Callithrix jacchus: one gene and its partner. The protein of the gene in region 1 purifies or fractionates together with the protein of each later gene. This does not show direct contact. Links are inferred from orthologs where the notes say so. Each region holds a gene or a part of one and is shown on either strand. Other genes may lie near its edges.

Region 1 (3,746 bases):
AGGGGAGAAGAAGAAAAAGAAGGAAGAAGAAGAAAGAAAGGGACCTCAGACCTCAGATGGGTCTGCAAGGCTCCTCCCTCTCAGGATCTACCCATCCTGCCCCGAAACCTGCTGTGTGGCCTGCTGTTCTTCCATGTAGCGAGATGTGGCCGAGATGGCGCTGGCATCCAGCAGGTCGCTGGGTGACTTCTGGGCAGCTGGTTTGCCCGCCAGCATCTGCAGGGACACAGAACACAGACTTGGGGAGGGACACCAACTTACAGTAGGGCGTGTGAGGCAAGGCCCTACGGTGCTGAGTCAGGGAGGCAGAGTCTGGCGTGGGACAGCCTGCAATCCTCACTCACCACCTACTAACAAGGTGACCCAGGGACCCCATTATTTGACCTCTCTGTGCCTCAGTGTATTCATCTGTAAAATGCAGAAAGCAGGTCAGGTATGGTGGCTCATGCTTGTAATCCCAGAACTTTGGCAGGTGAAGGTGGGCAGATCACCTGAGGTCAGGAGTCCAAGACCAGCCTGGCCAACGTGAAACCCTGTCTCTACTAAAAATACAAAAATTAGCAGGGTGTGGTGGTGCACTCCTATAATCCCAGCTACTCAGGAGGCTGAGGCAGGAGACTCACTTGAACCCAGGAGGCGGTGGTTGTAGTGAGCCAAGATTGAGCCACTGTACTCTCCAGCCTGGGCAAGAGAGCAAGACTCCATCTCAAAAAAAAAAAAGAGAGAGAGAGAAAGGCAGGCATGCGTCCTGGAAACAGCTGTATACAGGACAAATGGTATGGAAGCAGAAAGGAGAGGGGTACACAGGCCTCCAATCCTCCTTTGCAATAGGAAACCAGGATACAGCCAGAGGAGACAGTAGAGAGGAACCCATGGACACACACACACAGAGAGGTTCAGGTGCACACACCCAGGAAGTGCAGGCAGGTAGACAGCAAGAAGACAACTGCACACAGGATGGGCACTGTCACAGAAGGGACAGGTGAACACACGCAGAAGGATCTGGCTCGTACTCAACGGCGTGGTCACCCCCAGGTGCTCAGGAAGGCTTACCTCTCTGCTATTCCTCTCCAGAAAGGCTACGGCTGTTGGGCTGACCATATGGTCCTTCATTTCCTGGAGGTGAAGACAGCATTAGGGAGGAAAGACACTCATGCTGGGCGTGGCTCATGCCTGTAATCCCGGCACTTTGAGAGGCCAAGTTGGGTGGATCACCTGAGGTCAGGAGTTCGAGACCAGCCTTGCCAACACGGTGAAACCCCGTCTCTAACTAAAAACACAAAAAAATAGCCAGATATGGTGGCGGGCTCCTGTAGTCTCAGCTACGCAGGAGACTGAGACACAAGAATCGCTTGAATCCGGGAGATGGAAGTTGCAGTGAGTTGAGATTGTACCACTGGACTCCAGCCTGGGCGACAGAGTGAGACTCAATCTCAAAAAAAAAGAGAGAAAAGACCCCGCCTGCAGGACCTCTGCGCACCTGGACGGCCTCTCGCATCCGCTCCACGAACACCTTTCTCTCCTGCAGGTCCCCGGCCGGGAGCTTGAACTTGCCTGGGTTGGCTTCCACTATGCGTGGGCTGAGAGTCAAGGGTCAAGGCCAGAGCCAGACATCATCTCCCTCCCTAGGGGTCCAGCCCTTCCCGAGGGCGACCTCCCAGGCCCCTACCACCGCAGGGGGCTCTCCCATGCCACCCCCGCCCCAAAGCCCCAGGATATCGATGGTCTCTTCCAGGTCCTCCAGGTCCCACTCGATGCTGCGCAGGCCATTCCGCAGCTCATTGGTCGTCCAGTCCAGCTCCTCGCGTCCGACCGCCGCGCTCTCCTGCAGGAGCTCGCACCAGCGCTGGTACAGCCCGCGGGCCGTGTTCACCGCCTTCTGCACCTCGCTGCGGGCAGGGGCACGGCGGGCGCGGCTGGGGGCAGGCGGTCCTCCCGCCCGCCTCTGCCCCCGACTGCAAACCCAAACGCATGGGGGACTCCGGAGACCCCAGTATCCCCCTGCCTGCGCCTCCCACTCTGCACCCCGACGGCCCTGCCCAGCCCGCCTGGCATGCTGGGGCCAGCACCCGGGCACTGGCTGACTTGGGGACTGAGCACCCTCCGCCCGCCCCCGTCGCTGTCACTCACCCTCGGACTACAAAAAAGGGGTCTTCGAGAGACATGTCAGTCTCCCTCCCCCTCAGGCCGAACCCCCTCCAGGCCTGGGTTCGCTGGCTGGTTGCCTCGCAGCTGAGGAGAACGCGCCGCCACTCCCGCCCCCGTCACGTCACCATCGAGAGCGGGACCGCCAGGGGAGAAGGAGAGGCCTCGGAGGCCCGAAGTGCAGACACTTCCGTCCTCTCTGCAGCCATCTTGGTTTTGGGCAGAGGCAGCTTCCGGTCCATATGCTCCGCCCCTTGGCCCCCTGTGTGCCGCCCCGTAGGGGGCGGTGTCCGAGTTCTGGTTGGGCCTGTTTGGGTCCAACTTCGGAATCTCGGTTCGAGACCCAACACCTCGGATTGTTGCTGCGCAACCTCAGTTTCCCTTCCGGGCACGGGCAATGTAAATAATGATAGCCTCCCTTATTTCTGACGGTTGGGGATTATAGCTGGGGAAGGGGTTCATTCCATTCGTTGAATCTTTTCATGGACTCCCTGAGCTGGCACTTCGGAGATCGTCCCAGTCCAGGGTCCCGAGTTTCAGGTTTGGGCATGGTGTAGGGAGAGGTGGTACTCTTCTCCCTGCGGGGGCGGAGTGAGGAGGGGACTTGCTTGTGCGGGGAGTTCTGCTGCATTCTCCCAGTCTCTCTTTCCTGAGAAGTGGGGAAGTTGAGGGAACTTCGAGGTCGCCTTGGGGCGAGGTGGTCTTGAGAGGGGGTCTCAGAGATGCCAGAGGCGGGGGAAGGTCATCCTCAAGGGCGCGCGTGGTGGTGGGTTTCATTAGAAGCGCGGAGTCTTTCTGGGTTTGAGCCTGGGTGTCCCAGGAGGTGTGATGGTGGCTTTGAGGATGGTCTCCCTCTGGGTAGGGGCCAGGAGTATCAGCGAAGGGACTCATAGTGTCACCCTATGTGTGACAGTGGCGCTCTGTGTATTGGGTGGTGAGGGGAGTCTTGAGAAAGCACGTTTTGAGTGGTGGGGGGCCTGGTCTCCCCTGGAGGGTGGGCGGGTTGTCTGAGGGAGTCCTCAGAGGGTCGCCCCCTTGCGCGTCAGAGTTGTTGTGTGGGCTCTCAGAGGTAGTGCCTGGTGCCTGGGCTGGGGAAGTCACTGTGGGGGTCTCCGTGGTAAGGTTGGGGTGGGGACGGGGGCGTCTTCCTCAGGTGGCAGCTTCGTTGAATGGGGACAAGTTTAGAAAGGGTCTTTTTGGGGGGAATAATTCTTGAGTCCCCACCTGCGGGGGGAGGGCAGGACGGGAGGGTGTCCCAAGACAGATCACTGTGGGGCGGGGGACAGGGATAACCTGGGAGGGGGCTTTGTATGGGGGAAATAATTGGGAAGGGGAAAGAAGGGATGAGGGGGCCTCAGCGGCTCGTCTCTTGTGTATGCAGGGTGGTTCTGTAGCGTGTCTGTGAGATGGCGTACGTGGAAGCCCTGAGGTCGCCCCTACCCGCTGCGGGGTGCTTTCCTGGCCCCAGGAGGGAAGGAAGTGAAACTCTCCTTCCCACCCACCCGGCTGGCTGCGGGTCTGGAAGCCTGGGGCTCCAGCCTGCTCGCGCTGCCGGGGCCGGGGAGGGGGGGGCGTGGCCGGAGTGCAAAGCCCCGCCCCTC
Region 2 (3,746 bases), about 29 Mb from region 1:
CCAAGCACACGGTCCAGTACCCACCAATCCCTGGGCCAAAGGGAACAGACACTCAGAGCCACCCAGGAAAACCATCACCAAAAACCCAGCTCGTGGTCCCACCCCCAAACACAGCACTTGAACTTCTCCCCTTATGAAGAAAACACACACATACCCCCTCTCCCTCCTCTCAGCCTCTAAAAGAAAACATTTTTCACCTAATCAATATGGTCCATCAGCCCCGGATGTTTCCCCACACCAGGCAATTCCCGGTCATGTTCTTCAAGTTCTTTTGCTAAACATTATCCAACCTCAAACAAGGGGCGAGGCCCAGAGCCTTTTCCCGTTCTTTCCTCTCTTGGAAAGATCCCTCCACTTCGTGTCTTACCAGCCTCTGCCAGCTTCCTACCATGGTCTCCTCCGATCCCCAGGCCCTCCCCCCAACCCCCTTCTCCAGCCTTCTGCAGACGCTCCCAGTCCTACCACCTTCCCCAGGCTCTGCTTCTGAGTGGCTACCACACATCATCCTCTCTACAAGCCCACTAGTCCTTTCCCAAGCCTCCTCTCTGTTCCCACAGCCTCCCCTTGATCCTTTCAGGACCCCCCATCAGCGCAGATCTCACTCCCCACCTCCCACCCCCTGCCAAACCCTCCCCAGCTCCCTTCTACTTCCTCTGCCCAGAGTCTCATGTGCCTCTCCACCCTATTAAGTCCTCCTGGGTCCCTCTTGTGTTTTATTTCAGCTCCTCTTAGCAAACTCATGCTTCTCCATCTCTCCCTCTTCTGACCCCTCCCAGACCTCTCCGCTCACACTAACTTTGAACCCCTCATCCCTCTGCACGCTCCAAATCTGTTCCTTCTGGAAAGTCACATTAACAACAGCTAACATGTTCAGAGACGTTAACTCCATGCCAGGCTCAATCCTAATACAGCAAATCGCAGGTAGGTTTGGTTCGAGGTCTCCTTTAATGGGGAGACTGAACAATTTACCCAAGGTCATGAAGTGGCAGAGCCACATTTCAAACCTGGCCTCTTGACACTCCTAAGCCACTAGAATTTCTCAGAGGATGGCTGTGTCGCTTTTAGGAGCGAATGCGAGTTTTATGCCATGCCATATGCATTAGTTCTGTCTCCCAAGCCTCTTCCCATCCGTCTTCTCACCATGTCCCTGTCATCATCATCACCATTACTTGAGGATCACACAGCAGGCCTCTGATCCCCCGTTTTGGTTCTTTCTGTCCCTCTGTCTCGCCCTGTTACCCCTCCATCTCCTTGGCCAAGCCACCACCATGTGTTCCCCCACCCAGGAGTCTTTAGCCTCAACCCAGGCCTCCTCAGTCTTTTTGTTTTTCTTTGACATGGAGTCAGTCTCGTACTGTCACGCAGGCTGGAGTGCAACGGTGTGATGTCGGTTCACTGCAACCTCTGCCGTCTGGGTTCAAGTGATTCTCCTGCATCAGCCTCCCGAGTAGCTGGGATAACAGGCACCAGCCACCAGGCCCAGCTAGTTTTTGTATTTTTAGCAGAGAAGGGTTTTCACTACGTTGGTCAGGCTGGTCTCCAACTCCTGACCTCAGTGATTTGCCCACCTCGGCTTCCCAAAGTATTGGGACCTCCTCACTCTTGGCTCCATCATGCGGGTTCCCTGGTTCAGCTGTCTTTAGTCACTGCTAACCAGGGCCGGACTCAACCTAGGCACCCCCCAACACACACTTCAGATGTGTTTCACCACTCCTAGGATCACCAAATTCCCGAGACCCTCCGTCTGGTGTCAGCCTCCTTCAGCCATCACCCTTACTGCCCAGGACCCCCCACAAATCCACTGCCCTGGGGGACTGGAAAGGTCAGTCCCTCGGGCAGGGCGTCCTCAGTCCCAGGACCCATCACGCCGCCTGAGAGCCTTCAGACAGATGCCCCTAGAGCTCCGAAAGGCCTCCGACCTGCCTACTCTCCCGGATTCCCTCCGTCCCCCCCAGGCCAGTCCCCTCCAAAGCTTCAGGACGTATTCCCTCGGTCCAGGTTCTCCCTCGGCCCCCTGGCCTGTCTTTGGCCTGAGTCCCCTTTCTCGCCTCAAGACAGTGTCGCCTTGGCCCGTGTGTCCTCAGCCCATGTCCCTTCCGCCATGTCAGACCGTCTCTCTTCAAACCGTGTTGCCCCGGCCCGAGCCCTTGGCCCTCAGTCTGTGTCCCCTCTGCCGCCTCAGACCATATCACCTCATTCCAGGTTCCTCTCCGTCCCCTCGGCCCGAGCCCTGCGTGCCTAACCCGCCGCCTCCGGCCGTGACTCCTTCGTCCTCTCACCCTAGGTCCCGGCCGACCCCTGAGCCCGGTTCTCACCCAAAGAGGCCGGAGAAGAAGGACTGCGAGTTCTTCACTTTGCGCTCCGCCTCGGCCAACAGCGCCATCGCCTCCGCTTCCTTCCCGGAATTGTCCATGGCGACTACAAAGAGACTCAACAAGGCGCTCAACCCCGACCCTGGGAGGACTCAGCCGCGGCCGGGCCGCGGAAAACAGGTCGGGAAAGCTCGACCTGCTGCGTTGACGTCGCACCGGTGCGCGCTGCTGCAGCCCGGAACCACGTGACTCGCGCTGGCCAACCAGCGGCCTCGTAGCGCGGCGCCCGCTCCGGCGACCACGCCCCAACCTGCCGCACGCCGCCAGTGACTCAAGACCCCCCAATTGGCGTCCCGAGACCTCAACGCATGCGCACACACCCGCGAACGGTGCCCCTGCGGAAGGCAACGGCGGAAGGCAATGGCAGTTCGCACCGCCGAGGCCCCGCCCCACGGTGCTGAAGCTGAATCCTCCTTCACCAATCAGCAGAAGCCCTCGACTCGCGTTGTGCGCCCCCCGCCGCGGAAGTCCGGCGCAGTCAGCTGACCGCGGACACTCACGTGACAGCTCGGGGTCCACGCCCGGATTTGACGGCTCTGCGCAGAGCTTAGTCCCGCCCCCTCGGTTAGTTTCGCGGGTTTCTTCACTGGGAAAGCCGTTTGGAGGAAAAGGAAACAGGACTACTTTTTTTTTTTGCTCCCTCTCCCGGCCAATACTGGAACTGCTTCGGGGAGACCAGTGAAGTAGTTCAGAGACGGGAAACAAAAACTTTAGAGATCCTTTAACTCTCTGGCTTCAGAAAAAGTAGCTGAAGAGGGCCGGGCGCGGTGGGTCACGCCTGTAATCCCAGCACTTTGGGAGGCCGAGGCGGGCGGATCACTTCAGCCAGGCCAACATGTCAAAGCCCTGTCTCTACTAAAATACAAATAGGAGCCCAGCATGGTGGTGCACGCCTGTAATCCTGGCTACTCGGGAGGCTGAGGCAGGAGAATCACTTGAACTGTGGAGGCAGAGGTTGCAGTGAGCCGAGATCGCGCCACTGCGCTCTAACCTGGACGACAGAGTGAGACTTCGTCCCAAAAAATAAATAAATAGGCCAGGCGCGGGGGCTCAGGCCTATAATCCCAGCATTTTGGGAGTCCAAGGTGGGTGGATCACGAGGTTAGGAAATCGAGACTATCCTGGCTAATCACGGTGAAACCCCATCTCTACTAAAAATACAAAAAATTAGCTGGGCGTGGTGCTCAGGAGGCTGACGCAGGAGAGTCGTTTCAACCCGGGAGGCAAACGTTGCAGTGAACCGAGATCGTGCCACTGCACTCCAGCTTGGGAGACAGAGTGAGACTCTGCCTCACAAAACAAAAACAAAGAAGGGTTTTTACTTCCGGGACCTTCCAATCTAAGCATAAAAAAAACACTCTAGACAAATTCCAG

Evidence for each region. The genes of interacting proteins can lie anywhere in the genome.
Region 2: the proteins of STX10 (region 1) and NAPA purify together in Homo sapiens (affinity purification with mass spectrometry; 3 studies listed by BioGRID and IntAct, with this or other methods). This does not show direct contact. The link is inferred for Callithrix jacchus from reciprocal best matches to the Homo sapiens genes STX10 and NAPA.

Annotation. Positions count from the first base shown.
Region 1 is NC_133523.1:11,969,680-11,973,425, forward strand, and holds the start of STX10 (syntaxin-10), read right to left. Parts: upstream 2,278-3,746; 5' UTR 2,166-2,277; coding exon 2,131-2,165; intron 1,890-2,130; coding exon 1,720-1,889; intron 1,576-1,719; coding exon 1,481-1,575; intron 1,117-1,480; coding exon 1,054-1,116; intron 217-1,053; coding exon 109-216; intron 1-108. UniProt on the Homo sapiens protein: SNARE involved in vesicular transport from the late endosomes to the trans-Golgi network.
Region 2 is NC_133523.1:41,453,012-41,456,757, forward strand, and holds the start of NAPA (alpha-soluble NSF attachment protein), read right to left. Parts: upstream 2,565-3,746; 5' UTR 2,414-2,564; coding exon 2,316-2,413; intron 31-2,315; exon of another isoform or gene 1-30. UniProt on the Homo sapiens protein: Required for vesicular transport between the endoplasmic reticulum and the Golgi apparatus. Together with GNA12 promotes CDH5 localization to plasma membrane.